Linked DNA regions of Solanum lycopersicum. The main gene of each other region encodes a partner of the protein of the gene in region 2 in a complex. Links are inferred from orthologs where the notes say so. Each region holds a gene or a part of one and is shown on either strand. Other genes may lie near its edges.

Region 1 (4,430 bases), on a different chromosome or scaffold from region 2:
TTCATTGCTTTGTTCATATTATGAATTAATGACCTGATAGAGTGGTTCCCATAAAACAAGAGGATTAGTTAACTTTGCCTATTAATCAAGGTATCCTCTAGACACCACAAATTGCGATATTTCTTTAACCAAGTTAGTCACGAAGGAATTGCAAAGAACAAGCAGTAGATGCAAAACCAAAAACCAAACGACAAGAATTAAATAACCAATGCCAGAAATTATTTCTTTGTACACAACAACAACAAACAACAACATCCCTAGTATAATCCCACAGGTGGGGCCTAGGGAGAGTAGAGTGTACTCAGACCTTACCCTACCTTGTGAGGGTAGGGAGGTTTCCGATGGAGCTTGGGCCAAGAAGAGATGAAAAGAAAGCAGTAATAACAAGAAGATAAAACGATAAACGAAATGGAAGAAATCGTTTTCTTTGCATATGAAAGTTAAAAGACTTGTATAACCTAAAATATCTGCAATCCAGATAATTAAGTGGGAGAACTGAGATATTGTCAAATGATAGTTTAACTCATATTCAATTTAACTTGGTAAAAGTTTTTATCTCAAAATTGACAAATGAATACAAACTATAAGCACTCATGAGATATCTCTAGTTTATAACCAACTCCTTTTGTTCGGAAAAAGAACTCTATTTAAAACAAATTGAAAGACAATGTTTCTAATCAGAGTCCACACAATTATAACCAAATAGTAAAAGGTATAATGTCACAGGACAGCAAAGAAATTGAACACCTTCTGATACAGCAGATCCCTTGGTAGTCGCTTGACCATTATCATGAGTAGCCAGGGCCTGTATATTGGTACTTCTGGCTTCTTTTACTCGAGCCATGTCCTTATCATAGCTGCGTTGAGCTTTCTGGTCAATAAAAAAAAGACATAATTAAGCAATAACATTTTTGTTCATTCACAGTCACCATCATTTAATCCATTTCTTCTTTAAACTATAAAACAAGTCAAAAAGACGATGGATGAAATTATGTAAAAAAAAAAAAAAAAATTAATAATTCTATTCGTGGAAGTTTAAGAGAACCTATGTAATAAGATCATGTTAAGTGTTGCACTCTGAGATATCTTAGGAAGTTAGGATAAAATAAGTTGGTACAACAGCATATTTTGAGCAGCTATATAACCTGCAAATTAGACAATTAAAGAAGAATAGCCAGCAAAGACATTTTCTCTAGTAAATGAAATTACACTAATCTCCAAAGCTGCTCAGCATATCACACCTGATGGAGGAGGAATTGCAGTAATGGTACTTGGGAGAAATTTGACTTAATAATTTTTCAAAACAGATAATCTTTTAGTAAGGTAAGTATTTTAGAACTTAAATGTAATTACAAACAGAAACATCAACAGATTTACACACATATATTACAAACCCTTCATAACCGTTTTAATTTCTTTAGGATGGTAAATACTAACATCATAATATTAAGCCACAGATACTATCGGTTGTCATCAGAGAATTGAAGTAACTCGTCATAAATGTGTGAACTTATATATGAACATAAATACCAATACAATAGAACTTACCGCTTCAATTTGCTCCAGAGCACGGGCTGCTTCTTTTAACTCTTTATCTTTTGTAGCTTTCTCTTGTCGCATTGTGTTAAGCCTATTGCCCACACTTTCCTTGTGGCGCGTACCAAGTTCATGGTTCCTAATGCTCGTAGGATTGTTCGATATGAAGATTTTGCAGAAATCACACCATTTATTTCCTTGGCTAACCCAAAACTGTACAATGAGAAAAACATGAAACAGGCATATTTATAAAATTGTAAGTTCATCACAAGAAAGTAAACATCAGTATAATTATCTTGGGTTCTGTAATCAGAAATCGGAGGGAAAGGACGAAGAATCTGTATACAGAAAAGTAACAGGTTGAGGAAACAAGAAATATGCAAAATACAATGACAGAAGGCTGGAAATTCTATTACAGTAATAAAAAGGTAGAGCAGCACTAAATCAAAAACAAAAGCAAATCCAACTAAAAGATGATTGAAGAATCAAAAGACTTTGTAATGGATGGAATGAAATTGTTGTAGGTATTTAACTTCCAAATGTTCATAGCTAAATCTGAATACCAGAAACTACACTAACAGCTAATTTTTAAAAATCCCTCCACCACCACACATCCACAAAAAAATATGAATATTGCATTTGATTTCTACAATATAAGAAAGTTGAAAGATCATGACCCTGCAAATTAATCCGAAATCCTACTCTATCACCAATCATACTTATCCAGCACAACTCAAAGAACCCGTGAAATGGAAATCTAGACAATATAGATGATATGAGACATGAAGACAGATACATAAACACATTACACTTAGCAAATGTACAATGAAATAAGCATGAAGAAGGAAGCACGATAAGCAACCCCAGAGAAAGATAATCATCATGTGATAGAACTTCAAATTGAAATCATAAACTCTACATCAATTCAACAGTGGTCTATGTTCTTTGAAAGAGGGTTTCACATTATTTGATCTGTCGCTCAACTAAAGATTACCAACTCACAAATTTGAATCATTTTACCAAATTGAGCCCATCTCACAAGTGATCAAAAATTGAAACAGTTGATCATCAATCAGGAGTACATAAAAGTAACCACAAATAACCCATTCCTAACATCTAGTCTAGTTAGAATTAGCAGGAATTCCCAAGTAGAAATAAAGGGGGGGAAAAGTCATTTTTTGAAGTTGCTAGCCAAAAAAATGGAAGATTAGCAGAGCGATACCTCAGTCATGGCTGCAACAGATACACGAATGGATTGAATGAAAGGAGAAGACGGCGATTCTCAAGCTCAAATCTGTTTCCTATTCAAAATCAACGGCCTTTTCTTCTAAACCCTAATTTTGAATCAAAGAAGTAGAACCAAATTGAGGAACAAAAAATAAATAAAAAAGAACTCGGATTCGGGCCCACCCGATCCGCTTTGAGATATTTGTTTGTTTAGTTAGTGCTGAAGAAAAAGGAGATTCAGTGTTATATAAAACATAGAATCTTTAGATATAAAATTTAATCGACCTTCACAATCTAAATAAATTCTTTTTGGAACCCAAAATAACCCGCAGCTATTATAATCTTCGTCATTATTTTTATTTTTCTGGAAATATTTTATGCTCATCGAATAAACTTTAAATAAAAAAATATAATTCTTAATTATATTTATTTTTAAATTGATATGTCATAGTAAATTTATACGAAAATGATTAATTAATCTTTGTTAATTAATTAATCAAAAATATAATAAGTAAAAAAGAAAAATTCGGTTTATCAAAACGAACAAGTATGGGCTTGTTTGCAACATTTGCGAAACTACGTGGACTTATTTGCTCTTCTGCTGTAAGTTCTTCCACCCCCGCCCCCACTCCCACCCACTCGTCGTCAAATATGAATTGGCTTGATTGACATTGCCGCCGGTGGCTGCAAAACCCTGTCGGTCTTCTCCGGCAAAGTGGACCTTCAATCTCCTTCTCTGTTAACAATGGATCAATCTTTTCTGCTGATGCTAACAAATCTTCTTCACCTCCACAACCACCTTGACCCCACCACCTCTCTTCTCTCCGATTCCACATCATCCTACTCTTCCTCCGTCGCTTCACCCACCTCCCCTACTTCCCTCCTCACCTCCACCTCCGCCGCACCTCTCCTCTTCTTCACCATCGCATCCGTTCTCTCCTATCTCGCTACTCACCCACACAAGAAAAAACCTAAAACTTCAACTTCTTCACCTAACAACAACCCCTCTTCACCATCGCCGGCAGCCGCCGAATTCTCCGTCTCTGCTTTTCGTGCCCTCTCCACTGAACATATTTGGGCTATGGAAGCTCCTCTCCGTGACGCTCAGTGGCGTTCCCTTTACGGACTATCGTATCCCGTTTTCACCACAGTTGTTGATAAGCTGAAACCCTACATTACCCAGTCTCAACTCTCTCTACCTTCTGATTACGCCGTTGCTATGGTACTTTCTAGACTCTTCCACGGCTATTCTGCTAAAAACCTAGCTACCCGTTATGGTCTTGAACCTTACCTGATCTCGAAAATTACTAACATGGTCACCCGCCTCTTGGCTACTAAGCTTTACCCGGAGTTTATCAAGATTCCGGTGAGTCGACGGCGTCTTGTGGAGACCACTCAGGGGTTTCAAGAACTGACTTCACTCCCCAATATATGTGGAGCTATTGATGGAACGGCCGTGAGGTTGCAGCATCTTCCGTCGGAAACCGTAAACTCGTCTATGTACTATAGCCGATATGGGTTCCCATCCGTATTGCTTCAGGTTGTTGCTGATCACAAGAAGATCTTTTGGGATGTTTGTGTGAAAGCCCCAGGTGGATTTGATGATGCAACGCATTTTAGAGACAGTCTTTTGTATAATAGGTTGATTTCTGGTGATATTGTTTGGG
Region 2 (4,568 bases):
AAAAGAGCTTAGCTACAGCAGCAATAACATGAGGATCATGATCACACTTCTTTAAAGCGTCAGAGCTCTTGGTTTTTCTTTGAGGTCGAGGCGCCATTTCAATTGAAGCAGCCCAAAGAATGCCACTGTTGGGGCACTCCTGCAATGCTTTAGCCATCATAACATCAGCTTCCCTTTTGTAGCCATGCCTAGCTTCAGCCCGCACAGCTGCAAGCCATAACTCAGGGTTTTGAGGATTCCTCTTCCTGGCCATAGTAAGAACTGCTCGAGCTTTGCTTAGCCCATTCATTTTCTCCTCTAGAGAGGCAAGGGATAGCCAAAGGGGTATACAATTGGGGCAATTCTTAATGCCAGATTCAAATGCATCCTTCGCCTTGTTAGAATTACCAAGTCTTTCTTCCAACTGTCCCAGCATCAACCAAAGTTTGAAAAATGAGGGGAAGCGCCTCAATGCTTCATCCAGTAATCTCCTCTCCTCATCCACATTTCCAAGTTCTCTCTCCACAATGACTGACTTCATCCAAACCCGCTCCAAGCCTCCCCTTTCACGTGCCTTAGCAAGAAGCTTCCTTGCCCTCTCTGTCTCACAGTTCTCAAACTCGAGCTTGAAAGCAGCAAGCCATATCTCCTCGGAATCAGGAATTGCAGCAAATGCTTCCTCCAGAATTGCTCGAGCAGCAGGAACATCACCAGCAAGCCACTTCTCTTTGGCACCCATCAACCATAGAACCTCAGCCTTTGGAATGTAGGTAACTGCTTTTCGAAGCACTGCATCAAGTGATTCCCTCGTGCCATGACTTTTCTCGAGCTGTGCAGCTTTAAGCCAGATGCTTTTCTTAGTTCTAAATACAGTAAGAGCATGTGCATAAATGTATTTCGCTGTTTCAATAGAACCCCTTTTCTTGCACTCCTCAGCATCAGCAACCCAGGTCCTCTTCCTATCTTCTTCCTCAACACCAACCCCAACAGTGTTGTTTATTATAGCTTGGCAAGTCCCAAGAGAACCAGCTCTCTCACATCCTTCAGCCTCCTTCATCCAAGCCTCCCTGTCAATCTCCAAACCTTCTCTCTGCAAAGCCCTTATTGCCCTTTCAATAATTTTCCCAACTGAAGCAGTATTCCCATCAGCCTCTTCAAGCCTAGCTGCAGTGATCCAGATGGCAGGCTCTTTAGGCAGCTTTTCTCTAGCCTTGTTAAGTACTTTCTTAGCATTTTCATAAGTCTCCAACTTGGCAAGAGCAAGCCACAGCTCCACATGCAATGGACAGCATTCCACAGCCCTCTGTAGCAAAAGTCTAGCATCTTCTTCATTGGCCAGCTCCACAACAGCTTTCCACAACCTCACTGAATCAGGGATATGCTCTAGACCTTTCCTCAACACACGGCTCTTGTTTGCTGTATCATCCTCCAACTTTGAAGCCTGCATCCACAACTTGACTGAATTGGGATTTGCTTTAACACCTTGAGCAATCACTGCCTTAGCCTCAAGGGGGCTCGCCAAACGGCATGCCTCCAACCAAACATCCTCATTCTTAGGACACTCTTCACACCCTTTCTTTATCAACTGTCTTGCTACCTGCATCTTCCCAGCAACCTCCTCCAGTCTAGCAGCTGCTATCCAACCAGGAGGATGCTTTGGATTGGTCTGAGTAACCGACTTAAGCAACAATCTAGCCTTCTTTATATCGGAAATCTCAGCATCACTAGTAATTTTCATACTCTTCAAATCAGTCAAGTATCCCTTAGGATCCACGACGGTTTGCCCAGTAACAGAATCCAAAATCCTATCCAACCTCACTGACAACACAGTTCCTCTCCCTTCACCCACAGCAGTCAAATCTGCAACTGGCGTCTGTGAAGAGGGCGTCTCCATGCCACCAACCATCCTGCTCCTCGGATCCAATGCAGTTACGTGCTCTTTTTCCTGCCTAGCCTTCTCCAAAAGAGTATCAGGTACAGGCACAAAACTCTCAAACCTCTTCTTCTTGTTTCGTAACGAATAATCCCCTATTTCAGGTATACTATCCCACTCATCACTTGACAATGTATACAATTTCCTCTTCAAATCAGCAAACTGTTCAGTAATCTTCGGATTCGAAGCTCTATACTTTTCAATTTCTTGCTTTAACCTAGCTTCTCTCCTATCTTTCCTCCTAGAATCCATCCTCTGATCAATAGATTCCCAAATCGCATCAGCTTCTTTATCATCTTCATCATACTCAGCAGACGCAAACAACCCCACATCATTTCCTTCAAATTCATCAAATTTCTGATTCTCATCATACCCTTTCTCCTCCGCATCCTCCTCTTCGTCTTCCTCTCCAGCACCCTTTCCACGTCCACGTCCAACTCCAGTCGCCGGTGCACCCCCAACAGCTGACCGATCAGGGAGGTCAGGAGCAGCACGAGCCGGACCAATATCAGAACGGGTCGTGAAACCGGTAGCACCACGACCCAACCCAGCAACATAATTCGGAGGAGGTCTCGTGTTAAGAAATTCAAGCCGGGCTTTCGGTGCCCCGGGTGCTTGCATACCTCCGAAAAGAGGAACGTGTAGAGTTAGAGTGGAATTAGGGGAAATCCCTAGATCGGATAACAGTGCTTCCACATCGAGGAGACGCCGGCAGGATGAGTAGAGTCGTTGTTGAGTGATTGGAATATGGAACTTTTGATGGATTGCTAGGGTTAGGGTTTGAAGAGAAGTTACAAAAGGATTAATTTCTAGGGTTAGGGTTTTGTGATTCGGAAGATTGATGAACACCATGACTGTTCGTTGTTGAGCAAATCGTTGACAGCTGAATAAACACAACAATTTCACCTTTTTCTGGATCAGGCAAATCGGTACGAATTCATTTCTGTAGTGTACTAAAATATTTAGGCGTTACACAATTTTATTTTTTTTGTTTAGATATTTGAGTCTTAATTTAATTATGGTAAAAAAAAATTAAATATATTTTATTTGAGTTCAATTTATATAATTAAGAAAGAAATTTTTTGCATATAGTCATTTAAATATATCTTAAATCTATATGTTATATGAATGAGAGTGACGAGAGAGATTGGAAGAGAAAGGAGAGAGGCGAGCGAGATTGAAAGAGAAAGGAGAGAGGCGAGCGAGATTGGAAGAGAAAAGAGAGAGGCGAGCGAGAGAGCACAGAGAGTGGGAGAGGGGTGAATTATATATGTATATCGATTAGATAATGTATATATGTAACTGGTATACATATGTATTTGTATATTTTGCGAGCGAAATTTGGCAAGGAAGAAGAGAGGCAAGCGAGAGAGGACAATAATTTTTAAAATTCGTAACTTGTTTGCATAATTCATGTGTTTTTATACAATTGAGTAATACAAAGTCTGAAACAATACAAATCTGATAAAAACTCACAATAACGAATTGATACATATATATATACATATGAATTTTACACAAATTATATTACACAAGTTACATTTTATAATTATATTATATAAAGTCCGAAAAACTACATGTTTTAAAATTTTTAAAAAGTGATAAAAAAGAAAAAAACTGAATGCATATGGTGATAAAACTGGAAAATCAAAGAAAATCATCGCCATATACAAATACAAATCAAACAAATAATTGTTAATATACAAATTTGGCTAATTATATAAACTCGAAATCAACTGTCACGACCCAAAAATGGACGTGATGGCACTCGTCTTATCCCACCAAGACAAGTAAGCCTAAAATTCAACTATTACAATAAAAATGTGAAAAATTTACTATCAACTTACATTATACCCCAAAACCTGGTTGTCACGTGTACAAGCCTCTAAAGTATTACAATTGATTCAAAAGCAACGCTAATCTCAAATGAACTTGTTTCTAGAATAAAACAAGATCATAACTAAGGAGAAAGAAAGTACGCTGAGGCGACAAACAGCTACCTCTCAAATCTCCAAGAAACCTCAGACAAGGAGAAGAGAAATATCACAAAGTCCGGGCTAGTAACCTAAAAAAAAAAATTGTAGAAACAAGGGGTGAACACCAAACCACACGGTACTCAGCAAGTAAACCTCTAAACACAGGCTAAGGGGATGAAATACGGGTACTCCTACCACCCCCAACCGAACCTCCACAACTACAACCTGCATTAAAATCAACCCAACGTAACAGCTCACAATTTACATAGCACGTAGCTCAATAACAACAGTTAGACAAGTTAAATATCCTCAACAACAACACTTTAACAAATTACATATCCGCAATAACAAGCTCAATATTGATCAATCACAAGTTCCGCAGAAAGGCAATCAGAAGATCAGCAAAACACGATATCAAATTCACTAATGATAAGTATATGCAATGAAATGGAATGCAATGTCAAGTATAATGATGCATGTCTGACCTAGTGATACACACCCGATGTCTCTCAGTCGGGGACCCATGGGGGACATATCTGTCCATGCATCTGTCGCGGCGCACGACACGACCCTCGATATAGTAACCATCACGGCGCGCGATACGTCCCTCGAAATATAGTATCCATCGCGGTGCGCGATACGTCCCTCGAAATGGTACATCCTCTTAAGTACTCATTCTT

The links.
Region 1: protein STABILIZED1 (region 2) and zinc finger protein ZOP1 share a complex: the UniProt entries of both Arabidopsis thaliana proteins name them as parts of the pre-mRNA splicing complex. The link is inferred for Solanum lycopersicum from reciprocal best matches to the Arabidopsis thaliana genes EMB2770 and AT1G49590.

What each region holds. Positions count from the first base shown.
Region 1 is NC_090800.1:91,825,133-91,829,562, reverse strand, and holds the start of zinc finger protein ZOP1, read right to left. Parts: upstream 3,055-4,430; 5' UTR 2,768-3,054; coding exon 2,759-2,767; intron 1,750-2,758; coding exon 1,549-1,749; intron 872-1,548; coding exon 748-871; intron 1-747. Other genes in the region: protein ANTAGONIST OF LIKE HETEROCHROMATIN PROTEIN 1, read left to right, coding at 3,509-4,430. UniProt on the Arabidopsis thaliana protein: Nucleic acid-binding protein that promotes Pol IV-dependent small interfering RNA (siRNA) accumulation, DNA methylation and transcriptional silencing.
Region 2 is NC_090806.1:65,043,852-65,048,419, reverse strand, and holds the start of protein STABILIZED1, read right to left. Parts: upstream 2,998-4,568; 5' UTR 2,765-2,997; coding exon 1-2,764. UniProt on the Arabidopsis thaliana protein: Pre-mRNA splicing factor required for splicing and for the turnover of unstable transcripts. May be a U5 snRNP-associated protein involved in the formation of U4/U6-U5 tri-snRNP. Involved in responses to abiotic stresses.